2 linked regions of the Caenorhabditis elegans genome follow. The protein of the gene in region 1 interacts with the protein of each later gene in a pairwise test. Each region holds a gene or a part of one and is shown in the gene's direction. Other genes may lie near its edges. The genes, in order: rpn-3 and rpn-7.

What was found.
Region 2: the proteins of rpn-3 (region 1) and rpn-7 interact in a two-hybrid assay, tested with the Caenorhabditis elegans proteins (2 studies listed by BioGRID).

What each region holds. Positions count from the first base shown.
Region 1 is NC_003281.10:8,445,602-8,456,403, forward strand, and holds rpn-3 (26S proteasome non-ATPase regulatory subunit 3), read left to right. Parts: upstream 1-1,751; 5' UTR 1,752-1,755; coding exon 1,756-1,867; intron 1,868-1,915; coding exon 1,916-2,290; intron 2,291-2,333; coding exon 2,334-3,061; intron 3,062-3,108; coding exon 3,109-3,408; 3' UTR 3,409-3,745; downstream 3,746-10,802. Other genes in the region: hsp-110 (Heat shock protein 110), read right to left, coding at 1-329, 373-700, 806-1,133, 1,182-1,288; mrpl-32 (Large ribosomal subunit protein bL32m), read left to right, coding at 4,157-4,385, 4,437-4,639, 4,686-4,805. UniProt on the Caenorhabditis elegans protein: Acts as a regulatory subunit of the 26 proteasome which is involved in the ATP-dependent degradation of ubiquitinated proteins.
Region 2 is NC_003282.8:9,308,872-9,319,673, forward strand, and holds rpn-7 (26S proteasome non-ATPase regulatory subunit 6), read left to right. Parts: upstream 1-7,767; 5' UTR 7,768-7,771; coding exon 7,772-7,834; intron 7,835-7,879; coding exon 7,880-8,722; intron 8,723-8,772; coding exon 8,773-9,099; 3' UTR 9,100-9,359; coding exon of another isoform or gene 9,360-9,488; 3' UTR 9,489-9,533; coding exon of another isoform or gene 9,534-9,659; 3' UTR 9,660-9,705; downstream 9,706-10,802. Other genes in the region: F49C12.6 (Transmembrane protein 144), read right to left, coding at 1-194; F49C12.7 (CHK kinase-like domain-containing protein), read right to left, coding at 405-536, 586-660, 832-999, 1,100-1,639, 1,689-1,771, 1,958-2,072, 2,124-2,286, 3,986-4,056; F49C12.9 (UBA domain-containing protein), read right to left, coding at 6,099-6,338, 6,446-6,883, 6,931-7,031, 7,098-7,236; nemt-1 (Methyltransferase type 11 domain-containing protein), read right to left, coding at 9,360-9,488, 9,534-9,659, 9,706-9,824, 9,868-9,986, 10,032-10,161, 10,211-10,415; F49C12.11 (Translation machinery-associated protein 7 homolog), read left to right, coding at 10,521-10,592. UniProt on the Caenorhabditis elegans protein: Acts as a regulatory subunit of the 26S proteasome which is involved in the ATP-dependent degradation of ubiquitinated proteins.

The sequences.
Region 1 (10,802 bases):
TTCCTTTCCGAAAAGATCCTTGACAATCTCTCTGATCATCGGAATTCTTGAAGATCCTCCGACAATTTCGATCTCGTCAATTTCTTCCGGCTTGATAGACACTCCGTCTGCGAACAAGTTAATGAGAACCTGCTTGATACGGTTGAAAATTGGAGCTGCAAGATCCTCAAATTCTTGACGTTGCATCTTTCCAGTAACATCCTTATCCTCCATAAAGCATTCAATGTTCAGTGGAATTGGAGTTTGATTTGCTGACATTTGCTTCTTCACACGCTCACATTCGTCCAAGAGACGTAGCCATGGACGAGGAGATGTTGCGGCATCAATTCCTGCAATAACTTCAATTATCAATTTACTTTCATTGGGCCTTACCGTATTTTGTCTTGAACTCTTTTCTGAAGTGCTCTCGAATAAGAGCATCGAACCAAATACCACCAGACTCCAAATCGTATGATGTGTTAACCATCTGAAGTTTTCCACGATTGAAAGCAACCAATGAAGCCTGTGTTGACGAATGACCGATATCAAGGAACACGACGTTGCGCGATTTGGCATCTTCCTCTGGGAGATCTTGCTTGTAGATTCCGTAGGCTAGAGCAATTGCAGTTGTTTCATTGACGATGCGAAGAGAGTTCAATCCGGCATATTGAATAGCTGAGAGAACAGCGCGTCGTTGAACATCAGTGAAGTAGGACGGGACCTAAAATTAAAACGATTGTCTAACAATTTCTCAAGTCTAAATTGTTCGATAAAATTATAGTTAAAATAAATTGATATTATTCAGAAATATTAAACAAACACTTACAGCAAGAACGCAATCTGAAACTTTCTTCACGTCAGAAAGTTGAGATTCCACAATAGTACGAAGCTTCGTGAGAAGGGCAGCAAGAACTTGTTCTGGGGTGAAAGTGTGAGGTTCGCCAAGATAACTGACTTGAACTCCGATGTCATCATTTGGAAGTTTAACCACTTTACACGGGATGAATGGAATGAATCTTTGCGCAACAGGATCACTGAATTTTCGTCCAATCAAATGCTTGAAGTTAATAACAGTGTTCTTGATGTTCGTGGTCACTGCTTGCCGAGCTGCAACCCCCATTGATCGATCTTTTGGTCCAAAAGATACGCAAGCTCTGGAGAAATAAATATTTAGATTTCATGTTATGAAATACTACACTTACGGAGTGGCATGCAGAGAATAGTCATTGGTGATAACTTCAATGCCTCCTTGACGTGCAACGCCAATGTAGCAGTTGAGGTTACCGATGTCGAATCCAAGAACCGACATTATTCTTTATAGCAGGAGCGCTGAAATTAAAGATAAAAGTTTAGACAGTTTAGACCAGCTAAAAACGGACAAAATGGGTTGAAGAAGCTTTGAAAGTATATTTATACAAAAACCAAATATTTTTCTAGAAATTTCGAGCAAATAAAAAAAAAGTGAGCAAGAAAACAAAGGTGAAACAGCGAAAAACGACCGAAAAGGGCGTGTCTCAGGCTGACTCCCTTATAATGGTGTTTAAAGGCACACCGAATATTCGAGAAACGTCTAGTACATCGTTGCGAGACCCATGTAAAATTCTCTACAGAGCAGACTTGCATTATTTTTTATTTTTCAAAATCATCATTTTTCAAACATCGTTTTTCATTTTATTAACGTTCTGTTGTGTTTGTTTTTATTTATTTATTTTATTTTACGTGAAAAAAAGCTCAAATTCTAGTGACACTCGTTTTATTTTCAAATTTTAAAGGGAAATGGCTCCGAAAACTGGAGAAACCGTCGTTGAAAAAATGGAGGTAGATGAAGCTAAGCAAGATGTCCCAGCCACCGAGCCAGCAAAAGATCTCAACGCAATTGCAGTTGAAAGTAAGTGAAATACAGAAATACTAAAGTTTTGATTGCCTTCTTTTCTAGATATCAAAGAACAATTAGCTGCTCTCGACAAAGGAGAAGAACATTTGATCACTCGCGTGTTGCAAGTATTGCCGAAAACTCGCAAGCAGATCAATGACAACGTTCTTTACAAACTCGTGTCTTCACATTTAAGCAGTGATGCTCAGTTCGCCGAAGGAATGTTGAAGTATTTGCATTACACACCCGCCGCTGATACTGAAGTTCAGCCAATGGATACTTCGAATGTCAAAACAAAGTCTCCAAAAAAAGGCGTCAAACCAGTGTTTGCATCTCCCGAATCAGATTGCTACTTGCGTCTTCTCGTTTTGCTTCATCTTTATGCTCAAAAAAAGAATACCGAAGCTCTTGCTCTCGGCGAGAATCAACTCACATCAAGTAAAAAACATATTTTAACCCAAACAAAACGTATAATTTTCAGTTTACAACTTTGATCGGCGTACACTGGATGGACTCGCAGCAAAAACCCTTTATTTCCTCTGTGTGATCTACGAACGAGAAGGACGTCTTTTCGATCACCAGGGATTCTTGAACTCTCGACTCCGTACTGCAACTCTCCGTAATTTCTCCGAGTCACAAGCCGTTCTGATTTGCTGGCTTCTTCGCTGCTACTTGATCAACCGTCAATATCAATCAGCTGCTCATCTTGTCTCCAAAGTTGCATTCCCAGACAATGCATCTAACAATGATCTTGCCCGCTACATGTACTATCAAGGACGTATAAAGGCTCTTCAACTCGATTACAATTCGGCGGCTGGATATTTCTTGCAAGCTCAGCGAAAAGCTCCACAAGAAGGTGCCATTGGCTTCAAACAAGCTGTTCAGAAGTGGGTTGTTGTCATTGGTCTTCTACAAGGAGAGATTCCTGATCGAAGTGTGTTCCGTCAACCAATTTATCGCAAATGTCTTGCTCACTACCTGGATCTCAGTCGAGGCGTTCGCGATGGAGATGTTGCTCGTTTTAATCATAATTTGGAGCAATTCAAAACACAGTTTGAAGCTGATGATACTCTCACATTGATTGTTCGTCTGCGTCAAAACGTCATCAAGACTGCAATCAAGCAAATTTCTTTGGCGTATTCCCGAATTTATATCAAGGATATTGCCAAGAAGTTGTATATTACTAACGAGACAGAGACTGAATACATTGTAAGTAATTTATATTGACAGTTTTATGTTTATTATAATTGTTGCAGGTGGCGAAGGCTATTGCCGATGGAGCAATCGATGCTGTTATCACTTCTGATGTTCGTGATGGACCTCGGTACATGCAAAGTTCAGAAACAGCTGATATTTATCGTACTTCGGAGCCACAAGCTCACTTCGATACTCGTATCCGTTACTGCCTCGAATTGCACAATCAAGCTGTCAAAGCTCTCAGATATCCACCAAAGAAGAAGATCGCTGTTGAAACTATTGAGCAAGCTCGTGAACGCGAGCAGCAAGAGTTGGAATTCGCCAAAGAGCTGGCTGACGAAGATGATGACGATTTTTAAACCGATCACTCACTTTTTTAATTTATTCTGAACAATGCATTGGAACGTGTCTGTCTCCGTAAATAATTTTGTGTGTATTTTATTTGAATTTTCTCGTCTCTTTTCAAATCGAGATCCCTGTCCACTTTTTTCCCACACCCGAATGAATTTTATAAGGATGAATTGCATATTTCACCAAGTCTTTTTAAAATATATTTTGTTTAAAATTGGTATTTTTCACCGATTTTATTTCTGAATTAAGTAGTGTTAAAAGAGAAAGATCGTCTAAAAAATAATCTTCAATTCTATCGTGATAGAAATCCATGAGTTTTCGAATAAATACTGTATTGCAACATCTAAATATACGATTCTATTAAATTTTACAAAAATAATGTAATTTGTCTAAACACTTGCTTTACGATGTCCGCAAACACTACCTGCACACGAACTGCGTCAGAAATTACGAGCACGATTTTCTTAATTCTTTTAGTTCAGAAACTTTCTTGAAATCATTTTAGTTATATTTATGTTTATTCAATATATTTTGTATTACCAAAAGTAAAAAAAGGAAACACTGAAAATCCCATTAATATTTAAACTCTATTTTTCTCTGAAACTAACTGGAATTCAATTTTGGAATTTATTAGTTTTAGTCAATTGCTCTCTGATATTTAATTTTTTTTTCATTTAAAAAACATAATTTATTTAACTACGAGATCGATTATAGCGCTGCTTTTCTTCCTCTTTGAAGTTTAAAATTATTTTCAGAATGAATGAGGCTCGAGCAAGGATCATAATAAACCTGCGGCTGTCGATGGACTCGCTGATGCGAGTTTTCAGTCACCGATCACCACCTCCTTCATTTGGATTTGCTTGCGATGTCGGTGCACATCCATCATCAACTGCACAAAACTTGCCAATGACATATGGAAGTGTTCGCGAAATGATTGACGATTTTAGTATTGTTTTTGGAGTTCCAAAGTATAGAACTAGCAAACGTACGTTTATATGTTATGTAAAAAAACTGATTTTCAAAATTTATTTTTTAGCAAAGAAAGTAACTCGCAAGTTCTCATTCACACGCCTTCTTCAACCGATTGATAATCTTGTGACATGTCCAGCGTGCTCGAATATTCATCCATCGGACACTATTTGTGATGCCTGCTACGCCAAAGTTCATCAATTGACTTCGGAAATAAAAAAAAAAATGATGCAGTACAATCCATATGTTGGAGAGAAACAGGATAAAGAAGTATGTTGGTCCAAAATAAATTAGTTTTCCAATAAAATGCTTTCAGGTATATGTGAAATTCAGAGGAGAACCAGATGCACCGGCAGCAGTTGTTAAAGGAAAGCGAGTTCTCGAAATTGAAAAAGAACGACCGACTTGGTTCAAGAAGTTGACACTAAAAGAATGATTTTCCTCTATTTTTATAGGTTTTTATAGATTTGTTCGTTTTCCTTGTTTTTGTTCATTCATCATTTTTTTTTTTATTGGAGTCATAAATAGAAAAACCTCTTACCATTTTCTAATTGTATTTCTATTTTCCATTTATGTTTCAGGTGGAAATCAAAACCATTGCGTGTTGTAAGTGTGAAACAGCTGAATCGATATTCTCTCCGGTTACCCTTGTTTCCAAAAGTGTGTCACTTGTTGACATTCCGCTTTTCTAATGTGCTCTTGTCACGATCACTCTGCTCGAGCACATGAAGTAGGAGAACTGCATGTGTGTTTGCGTGATTTTTAGAGGAATCCATTACTTCGGTTTAGATGTTTGATATTGGGTTACAATGGTGAGTAAGGGATTCCACATATGTTGTACTTTTGTATGCAAGCAAAATGGAATTCTGAAACGATGCAAAATTCAACAATATTTTGTTCATTAGTTTATTCAATTTTTAGACAAAAATGTGGGAAAAAAGTTAAAAATATAAAGGTTTATAGAGTATCCAAGACGTGTCATAAAGCGCAAAATTTTGTGACTTTTTCGTCAAAACCCGGTCTCAACACGACAATTTATCGTTAAATACAAACGGGTGTGCGCCTTTAACGAGTACTGTACAGTACTCTTTGAAGGCGCACACCTGTTTGTATTTAACAAAACAATCATCGTGTTGAGACCAGGTACCGTAGTTTTGCCGAAAAAAACCAATTTTCTAAAAGTCCTTATAAACAGTTTGTTTTCTGGAAGCCATGGAAACTCGACTAAGGTGGCAGCAGCAGGCAGCAATACTTTTAAAATTTGATTCCCAAAATTTCATTGAATTCTAGAGATGTTCAACTTTTTCTCTCTTCTATTTCGATCTGTTCGCTTCTTACCGCACATTGAGACTGATAGTTGAATTGCGTGACAAGAGTATTTCGATCTCCTATCTCTGCGTCTCACCTCCTACAACACTGTCTCGAGACTAATGATGAATGCATTTTGTACCAGTCGGTCGATCCTCCATCCTTCCTATTCAACTTGTAAAGTTGTGTTGTTGAGATATGGATTAAAAGAAAAGAAAAAAGAAATACCATGAATTTTCGGATGAGTTCGTATTTTTAGAGAGTAGTCGGCAAAAGAATGAATTGGGTTACTGTAAGAAGTAGGGGGACAAAAGTTAACAAGGGCAAGTAAACATTAAAAATATCTGACTTTACCTGAAAAAGGTAAACCAAGTGGCTAAAATAATACGAAATTTACAGAACAATGGGAAGTGACGCGCTACAGTACCTCTCTTAAAGGCGCACACTTATTCACGGGCGAGTTATCTGTAAATTTTTCAGTCGTGGCGAGACCCGGTACTGTGGCTTCGATATCTGGAAATTTTGGGTTTTTTGACTGTGCAAAAGATATAACATTTTTATTTTACTTTTTAAATCAGTTTATCGAACGTTCACTGTAAAGGCGTAGGCTACGTGGAAGGCAGTCACGCAGGTAGGATCTTTGTGCTTTTTTGAAAGTCGAACTATAAAACAATATCTTCTGATTGAAGTGCACAACATCAGTTCAAGAAGTCCCGTCCATCTTCATTAGTTGTCTAAAAGTCATGGATATACCCCGTCTCATCGTCAGAGCCAATGTGACTATGAATATTGGGTTTCACCACCATCACAAATCCAAAAGACTCACTACCACATTTTAGGGGCTTCTTCTTCTTCTTTTGCCTATCTCAGTTTACTTTACTCTCAAATAGTAGAAGAGAAGCCTCTTCCTTCCTTTTCTAATGAGTGAGCCTCCACCGAGAATGAGAAGAAGGATGAGAGGTTGAGGATTATCCGACAAAACCATATTTGGACTTAATATTAGACAAACTAATGGGTACCGTAGTCTCGAATTGGTTGAAGGACAAGGTAATTGATCTAGTTGCTTTGAAAAATTAAAAAAAAAAAGACCATCTTCATGATTTTAGCTGAAACTGTTAAAAATTGTATTACCTTGTGTACACTGGTCGAAGCGGATCTCTTTGTTAGGGAAGCCTTCAGGAGCACATGTCTGACCATGCCTACCTACCTACCGCCTACTTTCTGATATTTTTCCTGTGCTCCATTGTTTTCATTGTCTTGTTTCACTGTTTTTTTTTTGAAAATTCACCAATAGAACTTTCGCATGTAAGTTGGCAGAACGCTGAAGACAAGGCCAGGCCTTCTTGCAGTCGTGTAGGCGTTTCCGAGATTTCATGGAATGGCAATGGGGAGCATACCGATCAGCAATTTTTAATATACCAATAAATCAATAAACATTTTCTCGTTTTTTTCAGACTTTTCAACCGACGTCTCCTTTTCATAACCAGTTTCAGAGCCGTTTCGAAAAGTCGATCAAAAATTAATCTAACTCGTTTAATTTAAGCTCAGTGTAAGATCAAAACACTTGAAACTTTCAGCTTTTTCAGATATTTTTCTTGACTTCTCGACCTTCTGTCTAATCGAAATTCTTGAACAACTTCTACCCGGCCACGCCTCCCTTCTTCCAGTGGCTGAGCTCTGAGTATTGAGAGTAACCCAAGAAGCCCCACCCCTTTCATGGAGCAACAACCCAAAGCTCTTCGACGGGCTTCAACATTTCGTTGAGACCTTATTGTCTTTTTCCCAATTCTTTTAAACTTTCTCTTCAAAACTCTCGACCTCTTGTCTCATCACTCATAACGAGGCAAGAAGAATAAAAAGAAAAAAGAATACGTCCGGCGGCGGGCCCTCTTTCTTCACTATTCATGTGCTCACCCGTAGGTAACCCAGGTGATCGGCTCGGAGCAACAATGAGGCTTCTTTTCGAGTGAGCACCACAGTGTGAGAAGAGAGCAGATGGATGAGCATCATTCGTCTAAAAAGTGTGTCCGTCCTTTTCGAGACAAGAAACATTTGATTTATTTTCATGAGTTTTTTGAGTTTCGCCAAACTTCCTTTTTTAAATATTGTTTTCCTTTGCTAGGTAACCTTGGGATGTCGTCTTAGTGTACAAATTTTGTAGAAGTTCATATTCCCGTCCGCCTGCCTGCCTACCTTCATGTTCTGGTTTTTTGAAAATTGGTCTTGTTAAATTTGTAGGTTACTTTTTACAATAACTCCCAAGTATCGTAATAAATCAGTTGGTCCAGAAGAGAGCTTTCATTGTGAACATACAATTCTGCAGGCTACGACGCTCGGCTCAATCCTACATGCCTGCCTCTCTTTCATAAAAAGTGTAGATCATTTCTAATTTTTTCAAGAGCTGGTTTCCCTTGCTCACACAGTTTTAAAATTGAAATGAGCAAGATCTTTAGAACTATATTTGGAAAATCAATAGATGAGCTTTTATAATTATCATCTTGAGTTAGAAATCTAAGTGTACCAAACAAATTAACCAATAAGGCGTTGATGTGTAGTCTGAAAGATAAAAATGATATAAATTATTCTGAGCAGTGTGTTATTTTTGCTCACCTCTCTTGGATGATTCAGCAAGATTCGTATTTGTTCAGTAGTGAGATATAGAATAGAGTACTTTATATAGACAAATTGAAATAGAACAACATTTCTTTGCAAATCAGACAGTGCTGCGCATTTTGGGGGGATTCGGCATCACCCACAATGATGTAAAAGGGGAAAGATCTACTCAAAAAATGAGTTTGCCTTGATTATCAAAAACGTTTGCTAAATTAACTTCCCCATAAAAAAATAATTATTAAAAAATCTTAAAAAGACCCTATCATCAGCTTTTAAATGAAACTTGGTACGTCCTTGAACCCAATCTCCAGGCACTGCATTCATTATTCGCATCGTTTCACCCATCCGAAAACATATGTTTCTGATGCTCACTTGTGTGCTCACAAGAGAAAAGTTCGAAGTACAGTAGTTCCGACGCTATGGCTTCATTTGTCTCGTTCACCAGGAGGTTATTTCTAAATACCTAAAAACGGCTTCTTCTCCTCCTCTGCTTCTTCTAAGTAAGGCTTCACAAGGTGGGCTCAATGAGCACATTTTCACTCCCTCTCATATTTCTAAAAAAAAGAAGGGGATGAACAATTAACGGATGAATCAAGTGTGCCTGTCTTTAGAGAATGCACTTGTTATCACCTCATTTTTTCGGAAAAAAAGAGGTTCGTCAGTCTCAAGAGGGTTTGTTTACCCGATTGGAATGACCAGAAAGAAGGAGAGAATGCACTTCATTTATGTTCGCTTTTGGTTTCTAGACATGAAATTTGGATGAAAAAAAATCCACAATTTTAAGTTAACCAGAAAGTGTATGGAAATTTTTAACTAGGAAAAATTTTCAATTTAAAAAAAGTTCTAGATTCATTTTTGAATAATCTAGAAGAAGACACTGCCTAAAAAAAATGAATTGTTTGCTAAAACGTTTGACTGAAAACATAGCTCCCTAACTATTCTTCATGGCCTGTCTTCAACCTAAACTTTATTATTTTTTCAATTGCTCGAAATTTTGGAGTTTTCTAAAAATTCAGAAAAGTGCACAAATTTTGAGACCTGAGAAATGAAAGTTAGAGAAAATTTTTAAAACCAAATCCAGCAGTTCGAGAATTCATAACATCTTGAAGAAATATATCAAAAATGTTATTATTTATATAGGCCTTAAAATGTCTGTCTCGAGGAGCAACCACGCCTATATTTAATTCCAGACTTTTCCCCATTTATGAACCTTTAATCCTTCACAACCTAAAATACAGTCACCTAGTACCTACCACCGTTTTCTCTCCTTTCATTCGCTCCTCCTTCCGTTTCACCCTAATCCGTCCATAATTTTGTTCCCTTTTTGCCTACAATGACCTCTTCCTTTTTCTTCTTTTTCATGATCGTCGCCATCATCGTTCTTTAATCCGCCTATCCCCTTTCCGAACCTAGAACCCTTTTTGACTTTTCTGGACACTTCTGACTTCTTCTTACTCTTATTCTACTTCTTTTCCTTATCCTCGTCCCGTATTCTCATTTCCTCCATTCGGTTTTTTTAGATATTAGTTTGACCCTCATCGTGTCATCTTTAGCAAATTAGTTCCCAGGAGAGAAGTTGCGAATAGTTTGATTTTATTCAATTCCGGTAATCGTTAATTTGAATGGCCTAAAGTTTTCTGGCTCAACAATTTGTATTTCAAAGTATGATTGAGAGCATAAAGATTTTTAAGCACTTTCGCGCAACGTGTGCGCTGAAAATTTGGAAAATCTTTTTTTTTTTCGATACATGACGAGCCAAACGGCAAATTATTCATTCTTGGTTAGTTCTGCAAGTCATTAAACCTCAGAACTTGGCTGATATTAGTTTTATAGAATAAAATAACGTTTAATTTTTGTAAAGTTTAAAAAATATTTTCTCTTGAAAATCTTCCAGCTATTGCAAATATCATCTCAGCGTTCCTAAACTTGTAGCTGAATCTGTTCCTCAACTCAAACTGTTATTTTCCAAACTCCCTCAACTTTTTTTTCATTTAATGCATATATCTATCTGGTGCACCCAATGCTTCCAACTTTTTTCTTCTCCATCCAAACCAACTCTCAACCGATTCAATTAAAATCACAATTTGTGATTTTCCGCTTTTCTCTTTTCACCACAAAAAAGTTGACACAATTCGAAAGTTAGAGCTCCAATCCTACAGAAAACTTTTTTCCTCGTTTTTCTCCACCAAAACATTGGTACCGCCCGTCTTGTAGTCGTCGCGTACACGGAGGCAATTAAAAAATTGGATTTGTTCTTTTTCTTCTCCTCTCTTTCTAATATTGACTCACAATTTTATTTTCCGTTCGATCAAATTTAGGGGCAAAAGTTGGATACGATGAGGTTCTGCTCAGTTGTTTTTACTTTTTGTGGCAGTTTTTACAATTGCGAAAAATAAAGATTGCCAAAGTTTAACAAATTTCACTAATGTTCTAAGATTTTGTTTAAAGTTGTACCTCGAAGGATCTAGAAAAAAAGCCCCCAAAATATTCAAAAAAATTTCAAAGTGTTTTG
Region 2 (10,802 bases), on another chromosome or scaffold:
GCAATAGGGTGAATTGGTGCTGGAGCTGTTGTCATTGCAACAGCAACTCCAACCAAAAGCTGTCCAAGTGACTGAACCCATTGGAAATACAACCCATCTCCTTTATGAAACCATTTCAATGGAACATAAGTGGAACCGAATGTGATTGCAGAAACAACAGCACACACGATTCCAAGAGTTGTATCTTTTTCCATGTTTTGTTGGTAAAAATGAAAGAGAATAGGTTTGAGGGAACATCAACGCGAGAGGAATTACATGTTTTATACTAAATTTCAGGAAATTTGAATAATAGGACGTACAGAATTTGGAAAACGATGATGATTGTGGCGAAAGGAGTAGCGAAAAAGTGTGGAAAGGATTATAGAATATTGAATATAATTTCAGAGTTCAAAACATTTAAAAGATTATATACACCCAGTTTTAGATTTCCGGACGACTTTCATGGGTTGCGATAATATCCGAATAAATTCCTTTGACCTTCGAAATAAATGAACCAATAACCATTGGTTTTGCAGGAATGTTTGGCATTGAGACAACTTTCTGAAAACTGATTGATTGATTCCGTATGGTTAAAATAATATTTACTTCTAGAACTGCTGTCAGAGCAGGGAGCAGGTAGGCTGAGACTCGAGGATATGCCAAGTTGTAGGTGGTTGTTAGCTGAAAAATTCCAATTACGATTTCAACCCATCTATAATATTTGCTTATCATCTCACTTTTTATATAAAAACATAGATTTTAATTTCTCTTAAATATTATCAATTGAATAAAAACCGAAAATGGATACCAAAAATGTTTAATGGACTACGATCATTGATGAAAATTTCTTACCTGCTCTAAATCAAAGGGCACTGGATGATCATCTTCTTTGCAATGTTTTGTAAGACAGTCAAAGTAATGTTTAAGATACTTTTCCTTATTAGCATGACGTTCTTCTGGACTTAAACAAGTATTCATCACACGTGCCAAATCAGTTGCAGCCAAACCAAAATGAATCATCTGGAAGTTTACATGTAACGCGGATACCAACCCCTCTCAACTTTTTTGTCACTGAACATCTTATTGCAGTAATGATCGTAAAAATATGTTCTTAACATACCTGAAAATCGATCAACTTCTTCAAATGTCCTTCTTGATTCCACATAATATTTGCTGACCATAAATCACCATGCACAAATACCTTCTTCATTCCAAGTTTGCATGGAACTAAATCCAATTCATCAGCTGTTATTATTTCAGGAAGAGTTGTTGCAAAGGTTTCAGTCAATTTTTGCATTTCTGGGTCGGGGAAGAGAGCCATTAGCCCGTTATTCAACTGGAGGAACCAATCTTTAAACGGAGAATAAAGTCCTGATAATCCTTGATGTGGGGCCTCTCTTCTCTTATCTTCGGATAAATTTATAAATTGAACTTGAAGTTTGGCGAGGGCATCTAGAACCTGAAGCATCTGATCATCACTGAAATTTTCCAATGGAGAAAGAGTTTTGATATCTTCAACAAGTTCGATTGCAATACATCCTTTCGAATAATTCCCATCTTTTTCTAATTCGATCTGATTTCCAAAGTAGAAATCAGGAAGAATGTCAAGTTTTGGAAGACTTTGAATGTATTTGTAGAAGTAGTTTTCAGAATTATGGCACTGGAAAATAACAGTGATTAGTTGGAAAAATACATTTTAAAAAACATACCGGAGGTAAAAAACTTATAAACTCATCCGAAATGTTTGCTGCCACATCTGGGGGTAACTTTGCAGCTTGTGCTTCTAGAGCTTCTGTAAAAAAAACTTATAGTATTTAAGGGTTTCTAAAACAAGCTACGCAAATTGAAATTCAGTACAAAAGAGACGTGTCTCATCAGTTGAATTTAGATACATTCAAATGAAATCAAATTCCCCCTAATTTCAGACATCAAGTTTTTCAATCAAACGGAGAATTTTAAGGTATATGATTAGACTTACGAAGCAATGCCACAGGTGATCCAATCTTCAACGCAAATTTGTTTGGATATGGAGCCTTGTCATCTCCTTCGACTTCCCAATCAATTTCAGCGATACCTAACAGAGATTGAAGCCCCTGAGTTTTGAAATTTTTCCTTATTCCGATTTTCCACCAGAAAAAACTTACAACTCCCTCTGCCAAAGGTTTGATTGTCTTCTTCTCTCCTATTTTCAGGTTATGTCCCGCACTCTCTTCTGCAATTTTCTGTACATCTTCCCATTGAAGAGTGGTTCCTAGGAGTCCATCTGCCAGCTCTGCGGTTTTAAGCATCTCTGATATTGCTTTTCTTCTGAAAATTTTAAATTTTAGTACAATATGAGCACACGATTTCGAAAAATGTGTCATAGTTTATCTACCAATTCATTTTATACCATTTGTCTAGCCACATGATACTTCTCAAATTTCTTATCAAGTTCCTCCTGGAGCAAACAAAAAACTCCCCGTAACCGGGAGTTTTTTATCCGGTTTATGGGTTTTCCATGAAAAAATTGTTGTATACATATAAATGCTAGTAAAGATCATTTAGATTTGTGATAAGAAACACATAACACAATTGTCAAATTGTTGGAAAAAAGGCGGAAACGTGATGAGAAAATGAAAAAAGGAGCAAAAAGTGTGTAGCTTGACTAGAAAATGTTGGTGTTTTATCAACTTTTATCAGTATTCGATAATTTTTTGTTCAGTTTTTGGAAATTATATGTTGTGACCTTTGGTTATTGGTATGGAAACGTTCCTCGAACATCGAAAAATTAATCCACCAATTAATTTTTTCTGTGGATTTTAAGATTTTTCATGGCAATTGAGCAATATTTTTTTCTAATTGAAACAAAATTTTGCATAAAATAACATTTTCAAAAATAAAGATTAGTTGTTTAAAGCTGTAATTTTCCCAAGGAATCAAAAAATCCGAAATTTTTTCTCCAATTTTGAAAATGTTTTCATGCATCTGAAACTGTGGGAGTTTACTTATTTTCTTAGAAAGATAAAAATGCCTCGAAAATCGCTTGAAAATTAGAACAAAGTCTTCTCTCGAAGTGAAAACAAAGTAAACTGAATTGCTTTCAACTTCTTTCAACTATTTGTATCCAAATATATATTTACTTTTTCCAAAAGTTCAATACTCTTTCTCATGTTTCTAACAACTGCCAAAAATCAACAATATACTTTGAAATCTTTCAACTTCAACACGTACCTCGTTTTAAACTCCCATAAACAATCTCGAAACATAAACAATTTCGATGGACAGGTGAACTTTCAATACACTAATATCTTGATAAAATGATATGATAAATCTAAATATAAGAAATTCTGCTTTGAACTATGCTTTGTGCTAGATTTTCTTATTTAGATATATGAAACTTTATGATAAGAGACGCAGATATCTGTGCTCTTGCACAAATTATTGAGAACTAAAAAAGTAAAAGTTCGAGAAGTAACGATGAGTCAGACTTGTTTTGCTATTTGTAAAAAGAAACAAAAGTTATAACGAAAATGTATATATGTAATAGTAAGTATTATCTGGTAGTTGCTGAATTATCAGGTGAGTAGTGAATTTGAGAAATACCAACAAAAAAAAACTAAATTTGTCTTTGATTCCTAACAACTTCACTTAATTGAGCGCCAAATATATTTTGGTACATTTGTTTTGTAAAACCAAAATAAATAAGAAAATTTGCAAAAGAAAACAAGATTCGACATTGATAAAATTTACAAGGCAAATACATTTTTCAAAAATAAAATCAGGAAAGTTGTTTGGAACTTCTTCGCAGTTATATTTGTAATTCGGTACATATTTGGAGTCCTTTCAAAAATTATTTGACTTTTTAATTCAATATAGGATCGAAAAATTCTTTAAAATTACTAACTGGTAAATAGCAAACTTATAAATTCGCTGAAATTCGTACATGCTCTTTGTTCCATTTAAATTCCCAAACAAATTTTCTGGGAGTATGTTTAAATTGATAACATAGAAAAACTAAAAATCTTACTCTTTTTCCACATTTTCTTCGGAATTCGATTTTGCTGGGGAAACGTCCACTGTAGATTGGCAAAGTCCCATCTTTGTGATTGACTTTAAAATATATTTTAATAACTTCAAAACCGAACACAGTGAAGAAAAAGTCCTTATGGGGTTATTCAAGTAGTGTCGGAAAATTAAAAAGTGTAGAAAAATTACGTCACAACCTTATTCAAGTATATAAAAACATGTATTTAAATACATTTGTGACGTCACAAATGTATTTTAATACATTTTGCTACATTACTTGAATAACCCCATTAGAGACAAAATTTGAATAAAAATGTATTATTATCAAGAAGTTTAAAGCCAATGAACTTTTGAAACGCTTGAAATCTCTTTTTATTTCAATCCAACCATGTCAGAAACTAAAAAAGGAGGAAAATAGCAAAAACAAAAAAAAATTTAAAAGAAATTCGTGATAATTGAAGTTTTAAAAAACAGGTGAATTAGGAAAATCATTCAAACCAAGGAAACTATTTTATTAAACTTTGATTCGTGATTTTATATTGTTCAAATGATCATATTAAGATTTTTTAGTTGGCATTTAGTCTATAATTTAATCTCAAAAGTAAATAAAAACGGTAAATCTTGGATAATTTAAAATAACCTGCTCTCCAAAAACTTTAATAATCATGCTTGATCTTTTTGATTTGTGTACGTGAAAACTTCAAACAATTAGAAGAAAACAAAATTCTAATTGCAGGGTTTTTGGATTCTCAGATTGTTTTCTGGTTGCAATTGGTATTTAACTCGTTGACTCGTTGAACTGAATAACTGACTTAACTGAATAAGTTGACTCGTTGAACTGAATAACCAAGAACATAACCATGGTTTTATGATTTCAAAGATTTCTAGATTTTTTATATAAGTTTAAAAAATGATCTATTTGGTTATGTACATAGATTGAAAATAAAAATTGTAAATCGAATTATTCATTGATTCGTTTAATTAAACGTATGATGTGAAGAGCCAATACTACCAAAGATTGGGCTTCTAGATTCTTCGTGATGGGTTACGATCCTCTTCTGCAAATTCATAAATGGAAAATGTTCAAATTGAATCCTGAAACATGTTAAACATACATGTGAATATTCGGAGAATTGTCCAATGTCGGCTTTACAGTTTGATAATTGGAAGAAATTGTCTTATTACCACTTTAATCAATAAAAGAGCAAACTTTTTGTTATAACACAAAAATTAGCAAATTAGCAAAAATTGGGCCAAAAGAACGAATTTTACGAATGCTAGCCAAAAATTGGCCGAGTTGTAATCATAACTAACCAATTCTGACTTTATATACCAAGTCTGTAAGAGTTTTCCTAATTTGTAGAATGTGTTTATAATGCGAAATTTGAATCGCATAGGGAACAGATGAATGGGTGCAAAACTGATAGAGGAAATACGGTAAATTTTTACCGAACGGACCAGGAAATGTTTTTTTATTTTCAAAAAAAACAATAGGTATGGAACAAATTTGTTGATTCTGCGAAAAAATATTAATTGCGCCTACAGTACCACTACAGTAACCCAGCAGTATCACTCCGCCAACTCCAACTCAGTATCCCGTCAGAAGAAAGCAACACAGATTTGCTAGAACTACTCGAGCATAAACTGAAACTGTGGCCTATCTAATTTTATTTAATTGATAAGTACAATTGTTAATTTCTAGAATGTATGATACTATAAAAAATGCATTTTCAACTCGTTGTAATAATCACTATAAGAAGTAGTAAAAAATATGTCCGTAGTAAAAGAGTATTTGCCGATGTACTGGACTATTTTGTATTTTTTTTTGAATCAGAAGCGAAGTGAATATTGCCATTCCCAACCCCAGGGAAATAAGTTGTTATCCGATGTTATAGTGACCCAGAGACACTAAATAAGCAGAGAAGAGTTTGTAGAAGAGTGATTTAGACGAATAAACGGTGATTTCATTTCACTGCTTTATTTTAAACAGATATGAGATTATTTTAGCCCTATTGACGAATGAATAGGGCAATTTGAATGCATTAAAAACGAATTATGAACACTTATAGACAGAAAAAGTTAATGAGAAGACAGAATAAAACCATTGGTGTAGATTAATTTTGGAGATCAATAAGAAACTCCATAGCCGCTTGCACATCTCCATTCGCCTGTTCGAGAGCCAACTGAATGAGCTCATCATTTTCAAATCCAAACTCGCGGAGAGTCGCAGCTTGTTGTTCATATCCTTGCTGCATTGGCTCTTCTTGCTGCTGTTGCGCTGGCTGGACATTGGCGGGAGCTGGAACCCGATTTGCCGGAGGAACTGCAATGTTTGCCAGGGCTGCTTGGAGAGCCTGAAAAAATTGGCATGGAGAATTTAGTAGAAATATGTATTCAACTATTATTATATTTCAATTATTCTTTTCGAATTATGAGAATCAGTGTGTCCAAGAAATCTTACATTTTGAAGCAACGCATGAGTAACCGGTTGAGCACCTCCAATTGGTCGCTGAGCTGCAAGCATTCCTGGTCTATTTCTTTCCACGTTTGCATAATCAAGGTTTTCGTATCCGTAACGAGATCCTACTGTCGATAGAATATTTTCTACTACTTTCAAGAAATCGGGATTCGTGTACATGAATTGTCCCCGAATTGGATCATCTTTGAAATCGTTCTGAACGCAATAGGCACGGAATAATGACCAATCACTCAGAACAGATAAAAATTGATTATCATGAACCAGCTGTGGGTGTTTCTCAAGAAGCGTTGTCATGTGATCTGGAAGTGCAAAGTCGTGGTTGAAACCATGAAGCCGACGATCATTTGGGCGTGTATATGGGGCGGTACACTCCTTGAGAGCAATACTGATTCGATTTTTTTGCTCTTCTTCGATGTGGTTCTGAAAATCTTAAAATTAATTTGGGTTTCAAACGGAAAAAAACTGACATTTGTTTTAAGCGGTGGAAGCAGCACGACTCTGATTGAATCAGCATCAGTAATCTTTTTTAGGCTCTCTTCATTCAATGCTCTTCCGTTATAAATCAAACCTGAAAAGTGATTGATTCGATAATTGAAGAAATAAATATGATCGATAATTGAAGAAATAAACTTACGGAAACGTTCAACGTTTTTTTGGTCTTTGAATTCGGAAGTACTTTCTGATAAATGCTTGAAGAATTGGATCTGTCCAGTAGAAATTATCTCTTCGATCGGGACTTCACGGCAGGTGGTTTTTAAATGCAATTTAACCATGTTTCTCAATACAACGGGATGGCGGTTGAAAACTGAATGCGAAACAAATGCTCCGTTTCCTGCGTTCAAACGCTAATAACGAGAGCGCTCGATAATGAAAGGATGAATAAAACCGTGCGGCGGAATTGCGAAAGCATGCGCCGCGTATTGCAAACCCTTGTCATCATCCCCGCCCACTTTTATTCGTCCCATTTTGAATTTTTCCCCCAGTTTTCTTGAATTTTGATACGGTTTTGTCTGTTTATGCACTATGAAATAGATATTTTAACGTAGTTTTCACTGTGCCGCTCACTGTAATGTAAAATAAGGCACTATTACGAATTTAAAATAGATATCAACGCTTATTTTCAAAAACTAACAAACTAGACACTAAAATTAATACCAAATCTATATTTCGATAATTACAGCAAATTTAATGAAAACTAACTAAAATGCTATTTCACGTTTGAAATACCATTGAACAGTTTTATTTCCGTTTTGGCCGCTTTTTAACGTTTGCTACAATTTCAAGTGTTCATATTTCATTTTAAGGAGGATGACAGAGGCTGCCAAAAAGAGCACGAAGAAACCCGTAGATGATGGAAACTTCGATAAGGAGGTACGGATCAGTAGTTTTGAAATCATTCAAGTTCAGAGTTTTCAGATCATTTCAAGATGGCCTGATCTTGAGTTATCACAAACCAGATTCATGCTCAATCATCCCGAAGTAGACAGCAGCGTGAAAGAAGCCAAGCTCGAGAAGCTTCAGGAAACTATCAAAGAATTCGACATGGCGCCATTCTACGAGCTTGTCTGCGCTGACTTCAAAATTGTCGTAGATGCAACACAATTGGCTGCAATGAAAGCAGCTAATCAGAAAAAGATCGATGAAATCACCGCAGAAGTTGAAGACGCGGAGAAGAACCTTGGCGAATCTGAAGTGCGTCAGGGATTACTCCGCAAGTTCGAGTACTACTGTCAGATCGGTGACAAAGACAACGCTCTGAAAGCGTACACAGCCACCTATGAGAAGACAGTCGGTATGGGATATCGTATTGATGTAGTTTTCGCCATGATTCGTGTTGGACTTTTCTTCCTCGATCATCATCTCATCAACAAGTTTATCACCAAAGCAAAAGAACTTATGGAGCAAGGAGGAGACTGGGAACGCAAAAATCGCCTTCGATCCTACGAAGCGCTTTACCGAATGTCTGTTCGTGATTTTGCTGGAGCCGCTGATTTGTTCCTTGAAGCTGTGCCAACATTCGGATCATACGAGCTCATGACATATGAAAACTTGATTCTCTACACTGTCATCACCACAACCTTTGCTTTGGACAGACCAGACCTTCGTACCAAGGTTATTCGTTGCAATGAAGTTCAAGAACAGCTGACCGGAGGGGGACTCAATGGAACATTGATTCCAGTTCGTGAGTATCTCGAATCATACTATGATTGTCACTACGATCGTTTCTTCATTCAGTTGGCCGCTCTTGAAAGCGAGAGAGTAAGTTACTAAAACAAATCTTGTATTTTTCACTTATCGTTATATTTCAGTTCAAGTTTGATCGCTATCTATCGCCACACTTCAACTATTACTCTCGTGGAATGCGCCATCGCGCTTACGAACAATTTTTGACTCCTTACAAGACTGTACGTATCGATATGATGGCCAAGGATTTTGGTGTTTCCCGTGCTTTCATCGACCGCGAATTGCACCGTCTGATTGCGACTGGGCAATTGCAATGTCGTATTGATGCTGTTAACGGAGTGATTGAAGTGAATCATCGTGACTCGAAGAATCATCTGTACAAGGCAGTTATCAAGGATGGAGATATATTGCTCAACCGCATTCAGAAGCTTGCCAGAGTTATCAATGCATAACCGAGCCCAGTTCTTCAAACGTGTAAATCCTTTTATTTTACCCTATTCTTCTTCTCCCGTATTATTTCTTTGCGTTAACTCGCTTTGAATCTCCCCACTTCTTCATCATTTCCGGTTGAATGAATTAATTTATTACCATCGCTGTATTTTTAAAACTGTATTCACACTTTCTTGGTCAAATACCAATTGTTTTATTATCTTTAAAATGTTTTTACATGTTATTTAATACCACTTCTTCACTTCTTCACTTCTTCATTTCTTTATTTCTTTATCCACATCGCTGCGATGTAGATCCGCTGTTTATTTTTCAATCGTTCATAAGTTGATGTTCCAGGAGCACAGTACGTTGCTCGCAGCGAGTTTTTGAAGAATTTAACGAAGAAAGGAGCCTAAAATATTTATATACAAATTTTTTAACTTTTGGCCTAGTTTACTTTCTCTAGTAGCCTATCATATTTTCTCGCTGAATATTTTAAGCCCTCAACTACTTCATCAGTGCAAAACTCGAAATGTTTCTTTACAAAACCGGCTGCTGTGGCTGTCTCCTGAATCTGTTTTGCCTGTAATCACTAGCTGTATTTATATAAATTTTACAAGTAGACTAACCTCATGGGGATATCGAATGTCCATGTAGCAGAAGGCACCACCCGATCGCAAAACTCGTGAGCCCTCTTTGAAAAATAGTTTGTAGTCCGAGTAAAGATGAGCTGCTTCCACATTCAAAACTTAATTTCAAGATGTTTTTGGTATTTTTTGATATGATCCTACCAAAATCAAACGAATTATCTGCAAACGGTAAATCTAGTGCATCTCCGTAGACTATGTTATTCATATTTCTAGTGACAACTTTATCACAGCCAATGATGCATTTTGTTGGTCCATGCCACCTGTGTTCCATATTTCTCGTTTTAAAAAAAATGCAAGACACTTACTTTTCTATCCAATCGAGAGAGTACCCTTGACCACAGCTCACTTCAAGAATTTCAAATTGTTCAAAATAAGGATAATTTGGATGCATTGATAATGCTTTTTCATAGAGATAAATATGAGCTCGATCCGACTCTGAACATTTAAATTAACAAGGAAACCTCGATTAGTGTTTTCATTTTACCGTATTCATCTAGGTCACCTAGATCTTCCATGAACATTCTCATTTTTGCGTACTGAGGTGCTGATGATGGCCAGTAGCCCAAATTCATGAAACGAACACCTAACTTTGGTGCTACTATTCTCATTAATGGATACATTATGAATCTATCAAAAAACCAAAGCCATAACTGTAGTAATAGAGAGGAAATGTGAAGTAGGAGATTCATAGTGAATATGTGTTTACGAGTAAATGTATTCTTGTACAATTATTGTTCGAAATATAATCTTTGTGAAATTAGCTCTATAAAACTCAATTTCAGCCAATCATCATCATGTCCGGACGTCAAGGAGGAAAGGCAAAGCCACTGAAGGCCGCAAAAAAAACGGAGAAGGATCTTTCTGAGGTGAAAATGATGATGATACTAGATATTTTATACTTATCATGGGCGTAATATTGCAAAAAAAAACTAATTGATTAATGAGAGAAGAAATCCAATAGATCAGTTTTTCGTTCAATATTGTCACACTTTTGAGCGTAGGTTGATGAAAACGATAATCTCATATAATTTTTTGAACACTTATCAAGAAATCATGATACTTGGAGGCGCCATGGT